2 linked regions of the Caenorhabditis elegans genome follow. The protein of the gene in region 2 purifies or fractionates together with the protein of the main gene of each other region. This does not show direct contact. Each region holds a gene or a part of one and is shown on either strand. Other genes may lie near its edges.

Region 1 (4,005 bases), on a different chromosome or scaffold from region 2:
ATTGGGGATAAAAAATATCTGGGCGGGATATAGAGACTTTGAACAACCATGAGAAGTTGAACCTTCATAAGTTTATTTCTAACAACTTTTATACAATATTTCAAGAAACCTCCTGAAAAAGTTCACAAATCACTTCCTTTTCTAATTCGAAGTTCTGTGGACTTTGCATTTGAAGAGTCAACTTTTGTTTCGAAACCGGAAAATTGTATTCGATTACATCAGAATACAACATAAAAGAAATGTGACGTCGAATCTTAACACTCAGGTTCTAAACTCTCCATTTTGTTTGAAATTTCCGTTATTAAATTAACACTATAGACATCTTCTCAATTAGGTGTGAATTCCTAAACCAGAAGAACACCCACGTCACTTGAATCTTCAGCCCACACGCATTGCAGAAGAGTGCAACCTAATCTGGTTACTCCTCCTATATCCTCCGTCTTCTCCTCAATTTCACATTTCAACGGACAGCGTTTTTTTTGTTTTGAGATTTGCACATATTTCTCCAATTTTATCGTTATCTTAATTTTAATATAATATTTTTCAGTCGCTCATGCGGCCCGAACACTTGTCTTTACAATTATTGGCTTGGATATACTTGATTAATGGGAATCCAATTGTTCAGAAAGGGGGACTTGGTAGGTTTCTGATTTTAAATTTGTTAATTGTAACTTTAATGTTTTTTAGAAGTTCTGGATATTACTGACTCAAATGATTTGTCTGTTCGTCAAAGATTCGAAGAAGTTATACGTCTAGATTGTGCATCACAAAGACGAAAAGCATTAAAAAGAAAAACTGACGGAGATGCTAGAATTTATATTCCAACATGTTCTCCAAAAAACTCATTGTAAGTTTCTTCGTATACATATTTGTTAAGTTTACTCAATTTTCAGATTATATGATAAAGTGCAATGCTATGATGTTTCAATTTATTGTTGGTGTGTGGACGAACTGTCCGGAGAGCCAAAGTTAGGCTCATCGACAACAAGAGGAAAACCAAAATGTGAAGAAACTCCAACAACTACAGTTGCTCCAAAAAGAGTGAGAAGAAACAATCGGTGTAAGGAAAAGAAGAGAACACGATTTCTGAGGCGATTAGTATCAACTCTCAAATCAGAAATGATAATGAGTGGAATAAATGCAACAAAAGTTAGCAGAGATTCAGCAATTAGATGGAAGTTTAATCAACTCAATATAAATCATAATAATGTGCTTGAAAGAAGTGAATGGAAACCTTTTAAATCAGTTTTGTTAGAATGGAAGAATGTCAGACAGTGCTCCAGAAATCTTTTCAAAACTTGCGATCTGAATAAGGATAGAAAATTGACATTCGATGAATGGAGAAAATGCATTGTTCAAGGTGTGTTTTTGAGAAAAATCATCTGATTTCTCATTTAATTTTTTCAGAAATCAACCGAGTACCAGCCAAACGTCCAGATCAACTAAACCCATTCCTGTACATTTTAAGATCAGAATAATTTTAAGTTTTAATCCTCCCCCTCAATTTGCAATGTTCTTTAAAAATCTACCACGGGTAACCTCCTTCCATTAATCTATTAACCTATATTTGTCTTTCATTCACATATTTGTTTCTCAACAGCATAATAAGTTTGCTTAATTTCAGAGCTTGTAGTTGTCCGGTGTTGAAATATCGTATTTATTTGTAGAAATTGTATTTTCATATTTTCATTGTCAGTTCAAAAACAAAACATATGCATTTAAATTAAATAAAAGTGTTCACTTTTAAAATAAGCACGTGGTGATATTGAAATAATAAGAAAAAAATCACTATAAAAAGAACCTCAGAATTCAAAAAATCTATTTCGAACAAAATGGTTGGTGACGGTTCACTTTCTTCTGAATCAGTTATTGGTCTTCACACTTACAATAGTGCAGCCGATCTAACTAGTGGACATGTGTAAGTTTTCAAGGTTTTCAATAATATTTAAGCTTAATTCATTTTCAGTATGACACTTGAAAAAAACGAGTATCTATTTGATCTGAACACAAAAAACGCTTGCACTCGTCCACTGGATATTTTTATCAAACTTCTTTCAACTTCCTCTGTCGGAAAAGAGTTTTCACATTTCTCGTCTCTTCCATTGTCACGACTTCGCACTGTTGACGCTTTCTTTGATCACCCCGAATTGAATAAATTTGGAGAAATTCAAGTTTACGAGCAGACGCGTGTTCGAGCCGTTCATCGTCAAGGTAATTCAAAAACTTCAGAATAAAAATATGTAAAACTAGTGGGGCGTTACGTCATTACACATTTATTTACTACATTATATTATTTTAGTATCGCAATTTATGTCAAGTCGTTAGTGAAATTTTAACAAATTAACTGAATATTCCACGATATCTCTATTTTAGTTCCACGCCTTGATGTGGTGGCAGTACGTGAATTTCAATGTTTGACGTTCAAAAACAGAAAAAAAGCGTTAGGTCTTTCATGTAGGCGCCAAAACACCTGCCTGCCTCACCTTAAGGCGACCTTCGCCTGCATCGCGCACCGTCTATCAAAATAAATATGAAAATACCCCCTTATGGCTGTCACAAGGGACACTAAAAAGACGGAATGTCTAGATTCTGACTACCCGTCTAAATCCAATCTTCTACACATTTCAGGTCATAATTACCTCAACTCAAGTTGGATCGACGGATATCGTGAAACTCGAAAATTCATTGTCGCCCCGTCTCCTATGTCTGAAAGTGTTGCTCAATTTTGGCGGTGTGTTTTCGATCGTAATTCTCTTATTGTGGTGACACTGTGCGAGCTCCTGGATGAAAAGGGAAAACCATTTGTGCCTGTAAAGATTGGAGAACCATTGGTAATTGATGATATGACAATTGAGTTGGATAACATTCGAAAAGTTCGACCGGCAACTTACTCTTCTGTTCTGAAGATTTCTGAGAAAGGTGTCGAATCTCATAAAACAGTGATTCTTCTGACCTATAGTGGATGGGGAAAACTTGGTTATCCACAGAAACCATCTGATATTCTGGATTTATTGGCAGATATGAACCATATGAGAACAATTCTCAGAAAACAGGGACTTGAAAAGAAGATTTTTGACGACAGTCAACGGACACCAATGACATTGGTGTGTTTTGATGGATTCAGTAGAAGCTGCACTCTTGTTGCTTTGGATATTCTTTGTCAACGTCTGACAGCCTCTCATGAAATTGGTACTCCATTTGTTGATATTCTGGATACAATTGCTAGACTTCGAATGCTTCGTGGTGCAGCCTGCATGGTGATACGTTCTTTATAACTAGATTAAAATTAATATTTTCAGAAAGCCGAGCAGTTTGTCTTCTTATCAATGTCAGTTCTCGAATATGCCATTCGTCATCATTTGGTGAATGTGGAGGATCTCGGTAAAATCAGCTTGAATGGGTTTATCATTCGCAATAATCCTGAATCTTACTGACCCGTTTTTTCAAGTCTACAAATAAAAGATTCTTCAAATTTTTTATTCTCATTTTATTTCCTTCCGGATGACCTACATTAAAACTTGAGTCATTTTCCCAATTACCACCTTTTTGGAATGTCACTTTCAAGTGTCAAACAATGAATACGTACACATATCTTCAGATTTACTTTATATTTCTTCACATCTGTCACTGCCAAATATTTCAACAAATTCCAGTGAGTCCAGTAACTGGTTTGAATTTCAACAACTTTTTTAGAATCTGATTTATCTGAGAAACTATCTTTGTCAAGAATGTTATTATCTTTCAGAAAAATTTGTTAGACAATTTTCACAACGTTCGATGAAAGGATATTTCTGAAAGTTTATAGTCTTACAGGTTGGAATGGGTATGGGAATGGGTATGGGAATGCCTATGGTTATGTCAATGCCAATGCATAATCTTGTTGGAAACCCATTTGAACAAGGAATGGAAATTGTACGTTTTCATGTCATGATTTTCAATTCATAGTTCTCTAAAATTTAGGAATACTCTCCAATAACTCAACTTGTTTCATCAGTTGCTCATCTT
Region 2 (5,116 bases):
ATATATTTTGCAGCTGAAAAAACTAAATAAAAAGGGATTTACAGCAAGAAAAATTAAAAGAGAAAGGAATTTTTATTTAAAAAAAAACATCGAAGGAATAAATTTTGACCGTACCTCGTTGTTCGCTGCAATACCCGACTCCTTCGTTTAGACATGTTCCTTTAAAAGCAGGCCTAGAATTTCTGAAAAAACGTAAAAATATATTTATAAATTAAAGTTTTAGGGCAAAATAAGAATTTCGAAAGAATTCTAAAATTGAATGATGCAAAAAAATAGTCAACCAATTATTTTGATCCCAGTGTCCTGCACCTAAATAAATCGCAACGTGCACTTTTCAAAAGCAAACAATATTTGTGCCGACAGTGGGCAAAAACCTCTACATTGCAGAAAAAAGAGATGATCGGATGACAAAATAACGGAACAAAGGTGAGAGAAAATAAGAGAATGCAAGAAAGTTGTGATAAAAATAGGAACAAACAGTAGATTACCGGGGGAAAATCACTGTCGGACAACTCAAAAACTTTTTTAAAAATATGATAATCTAACTTTTTTGAAGAAAAGGTTATATATGAATGCAGAAAAAAATGTGTTCCATCTGGAAATAATATTTATTTTTGTCAAAGTTTTGAAAAAGATGGCCGACGTTTAACGGCACTTTTAACTGCAAACGACAACTTTCCGACACTAGTTGAGGTCTTTTTTAAAGTTATCAATAAAAAATAAATAATATTTTGAAAGGAAACAAATATTTTTCTACATTTAAATATCAATTTTAGTTTTAAAAAATAAGATTATCATATTGAAATATACAGAATATCGTAATGTTATCGGGCACAATTTTCACTTAAATTCAGCATTTTTTTTATCAGTCAAGCCTGTTAGTGTATATTTACAATAATATTTTTAAATTCAATACATAAATATGTATGTCACAAGTTTAATTGAAAGGAAATGTTTCATGTTTTTTCCCGTAACCTTTCAATAAATTAATCACCCAAGACTTCTACAGTAACCCAAGGAATAGCAATAGAATCGTTATTTAAAAATTGACTTATGAAATCATTGGCGCCATGATTACATGACACTTAACTATATACGTAACCAAGTTCCGCTGATGAGAAAGAGAAATGATGTTATGAAACTCAGTTTCCACCTGAAAATCAGCTGATAAACAACGCGGCAAGACAAACAATCTTTCATCAACACAAAAACTTTTTTTTGCTTCTTCTGTGTTCAAGTTTCAAAGCTTATTAGACACACACCACGTCAAGATTTCATAGATCACAATTGGTAATACGAATTGGATATGGGGATGGTATATGGATCAATGAGTGAAGGTTATGGTTGCCGGTTGCCGAAGATGTTAGACCTCGTGTATTTCAAGCCTGCCTACTTCATGCCTTTTTCTTACCGGTCTAGGTACCTACTGCATGCCTACCTTTGTGACTACCACATTCCTGCTTACACACCTACAGCATGAAGGTTTATATGCCTACCTCATGCTTGCCTACAAACCTACTGTATACCCTATGAATATTATAACCTGTATGAATATTTTTTAGTGATGATATTTAAATTTGAAATAAAGCTTTTTTGAGAATTTTTCTTTTTAACGTGACATTCTGAAAACCTAAACCCCTATTTTTTATTTGTTCTAATGTCAAAGGAGGGGGAAATCATTGAAAATTGATTTATTTCTCAACGAGTGCCTCATTAAGCAATCGGTTTTCGATATTAATTCTAGCGGAAAATCGAAAAAATGGATAGCAAAAGCGAAGAAGCTGGTAAGATTTTCAAGTTTTCTTAACTCTACGATATGAAACGAACCTTTCAGAACCTTTGCTAAAACCTAAAAATGTGGAAGACGAGGGTCTAATTACCTCGCTGGATGTGGACCCCACTCAAAAGTCACGATCTCCAACTCCGAAGCCAACTCCGATCCCGGTTCTTATCAATGATACGGTATGAACCTTACAGACTTTTACACCTGGAATCTTCGATAATTTTTCAGCCAGTAGCGTCTGAAATTGAACAAGTGGAGAAGGAATTGGCACATTCGAGTGAAAGATTCCGAAAACCAAAGACTCTTTCTGTGACAAATGACACTGAGTCAGCTCGAATTCCGTCCCAAGTAAAGACAAATGCGAAGAAATTGGTTTTTCAAAACATTCAGGCAGTTGTTCTCAAAAAGAAAGGTGTTCGTCAGGAGATTCTGAAAAAGATTGATGGAGTTGCAAGACCAGGAGAGCTCACTTTTATTATGGGATCGTCTGGAGCCGGGAAAACTACGTTGTTGAATATTCTGACTGGCAGAAACTTGAAGAACATTGAGACTGATGGAGATATTATGATCAACGGGTTAGTGGGGTTTGCTTAGGCATAACCTTAGGCTTAGGCTACGGCTTAGGTGTAGGCTTAGGCTTCGGCTTCGGCTTAGACTTAGGCTTTTCTTTCAAGCTTCCGTTTAGGACCTGAGCAATATGAACCTGAGCATAAATCATTTTTCGCTATTACAGCCGTAACATGATATCAAATGAGATGAAGAAGCTCAGCGCCTACGTTCAGCAAGATGATGTGTTCATCGGAACCCTCACAGTCCGAGAGACTCTTCGTTTTGCTGCAAAACTTCGTTCACCGTCAGCACTTGGCGCCACCGAGTTGGATTCAATTGTCGATGAGCTTCTTGTCATGATGAGCTTGAAAAAGTGTGAGAACACGAAAGTCGGAACCATGACCGAGAAGAGCTTGTCGAGAGGAGAACGGAAGAGATTGGCGTTTGCTTGTGAGGTGAGCAGTGGAATTTGGTGATGCTTAAAAGTAGAGTTTCCAGGCGTCAGGCCCTAAAACCGTGCCTGCCTCCCATGGAAGCCCTACTTGAAAGTTGTTCAAGTGAATCTCGAATAGGAAATTTTACATTTACAGATTCTCACCGATCCTCCAATCTTATTCTGTGATGAACCAACTTCTGGCCTAGACTCATTCATGTCCCATCAAGTAATCAAAGCTCTCCGACAGCTAACAATTGAAGGGAAAACAGTCATTTGTACCATTCATCAGCCTAGTACATCTGTCTACCATATGGCGGATCAGTTGATCCTTTTATCGCAAGGACACGTGGCATATGCTGGACCCGCTAAGCAAGTTGATGCGTTCTTTGGTAGATGTGGCTATCCGATTCCAAAGTTTGTGAGCTCACCGGATCACTTTATGCGTGTGATCTCTCACAAATCTTTCGAAACGGAAGACGATTATAACAAGAGAATCGAGAAAATCGTTTTGGAACATGACATTATGAAGAAGGAACAATCAACTCATTCAACACTGAGCTCGTCGCGTCGTGAGCATCCTGAAACTGCACCTTTCACGTTTCCTCGAACATGGACTGCTCAGTTCTTCTTCATCTTCCAAAGATCTTCGATTCAGCTGTGGCGTGAACGATCGGTCCTTTTGGTGAAGCTTATTCAAACTTTGATCATGAGCATCATGATTGGATCAACGTACTATGGCCTGGAAATCGACAAGAAATCGTTGCCAAGTTTCAAGGGATTTGCATTTGTATCTGTTCAAATGATGCATATGTTATTCATGATGCCAGCCATGACAGTGTTTTGGAAAGATTATCCAGTTGTTGTCAGAGAGTTTCAGGCGAATATGTATTCTCCAAGTGCTTATTATTTAGCCAAAACTACTGCGGATGTGAGTTAATTTCAATAGATATCTGGAAAAAAATTTGAAAAATTTGGAATTTCAGAGCATCCAATATCTGGTGTTCCCTGTCATTTTTAGTGGTATTCTACTTGGAATGACTAGTCTTCCCTATAGTGTTGTGATTATTACTAACTACTTGATCATCAATATTCTTCTCAGTTTGAATGCTTGCTCAGTTGGTAAGTCGATAATTATTAGGGCGCACTTGCTGGCCTCTTAGCGTTTAAATGTTCCAAATTATAATTGCGTGTTTCTCATATTTTAAAATGGAAGAGAAAAGAGAGCGAAAGTGGAAAACTAGGCCAGCGTAGTCATATAACCAATCAGCAGGGTAAGGGGCGTGACTAGGGTCTCTGATTGGTCGGCGCTGAATTGTAGCGCGCGAATTCAAAATTTTCTATATACCTAAATTTCAGGACAATCATTTGCTGCAATGTGTGGACACTTGGCAACCGGAATGACAGTTCTTCCAATCGTCTGTGTGCCTTTAATGGTTTTCGGTGGATTTATGATCACTTATGAAGCAATTCCTTGGTACTTTTTGCCATTTGCATGGGTTTCGTGGTACAAATACGGATTCGAGGCGATCACTATTGTATATTTCAATCACAATAGCACCATTTCGGGATGTGAATCCAACTCGTCTGTTGCTACTTTGAAAATGTCGATTGACAGTAATTGTACTACTGGAATTGAATTCATCAAAGCACAAGCATTTGAGGAAACTCATTTGTGGTTGGATTATACTGTCATTTTGGCTGTAATCTTGTTCTGGAAAATTCTTGGAGCTCTCTTGTTCACTTGGAGGATCAGACGGGCTTAGAACTGTATTTTTGCTATGAGAATGAAGTTTTAAAAATTGAATTTCATTTTTTAAACACAAATATTTAATCACAAATCAGCTGATAAACAACGCGGCCAAACAATCTTTCATCAACACAAAAACCTTTTTTGCTTCTTCTGTGTTCAAGTTTCCAAGCTTATTAGACACACACACACCACGTCAACATTTCATGGATCACGATTAGTAGTACGAATTTGATATGGATGATATATGGATCAATGGTTGACGGCCAGGGTTGCCGGTTGTCGAAGATGTTAGCCCTCGGCAACTTTAGCAACTTCTGATCTAAATTTTGTTCTGGAAAACATATTCAGACAATCTGAAAGATGCAAAAATTTCACCTTGATTTAAAAAAATATTTGAAACCCAGGTGTGCGTTTACAAAAATTTTGTTGAAATTATATATTCATATAAATTTCGATAACAATTTCCAGGTTTTGAATCAAATAAGCTTGATTTTTTGTGCCTAAAATTGTCAAAATGCTTGATGACTTAGACTGAAAGTCTGAATCAAACAGTTTTGTATTATAGAACATTACACCGATATTGGGGAAACTTTCAAAT

What was found. Proteins that work in one complex are often made in the same cells at the same time.
Region 1: the proteins of wht-5 (region 2) and T04F3.3 fractionate together in Caenorhabditis elegans (co-fractionation; one large-scale study listed by BioGRID). This does not show direct contact.

The regions. Positions count from the first base shown.
Region 1 is NC_003283.11:11,757,115-11,761,119, forward strand, and holds T04F3.3 (Tyrosine-protein phosphatase domain-containing protein), read left to right. Parts: upstream 1-1,820; 5' UTR 1,821-1,832; coding exon 1,833-1,918; exon of another isoform or gene 1,919-1,966; coding exon 1,967-2,211; intron 2,212-2,437; exon of another isoform or gene 2,438-2,582; intron 2,583-2,628; coding exon 2,629-3,257; intron 3,258-3,299; coding exon 3,300-3,434; 3' UTR 3,435-3,466; downstream 3,467-4,005. Other genes in the region: smoc-1 (Thyroglobulin type-1 domain-containing protein), read left to right, coding at 554-638, 688-847, 894-1,360, 1,408-1,478; T04F3.5 (uncharacterized protein), read left to right, coding at 3,575-3,652, 3,814-3,912, 3,961-4,005.
Region 2 is NC_003282.8:12,335,887-12,341,002, forward strand, and holds wht-5 (ABC transporter domain-containing protein), read left to right. Parts: upstream 1-1,690; 5' UTR 1,691-1,759; coding exon 1,760-1,784; intron 1,785-1,834; coding exon 1,835-1,962; intron 1,963-2,011; coding exon 2,012-2,358; intron 2,359-2,516; coding exon 2,517-2,787; intron 2,788-2,922; coding exon 2,923-3,696; intron 3,697-3,751; coding exon 3,752-3,887; intron 3,888-4,124; coding exon 4,125-4,531; 3' UTR 4,532-4,572; downstream 4,573-5,116. Other genes in the region: F19B6.1 (Uridine kinase), read right to left, coding at 115-155; F19B6.10 (uncharacterized protein), read left to right, coding at 1,307-1,480.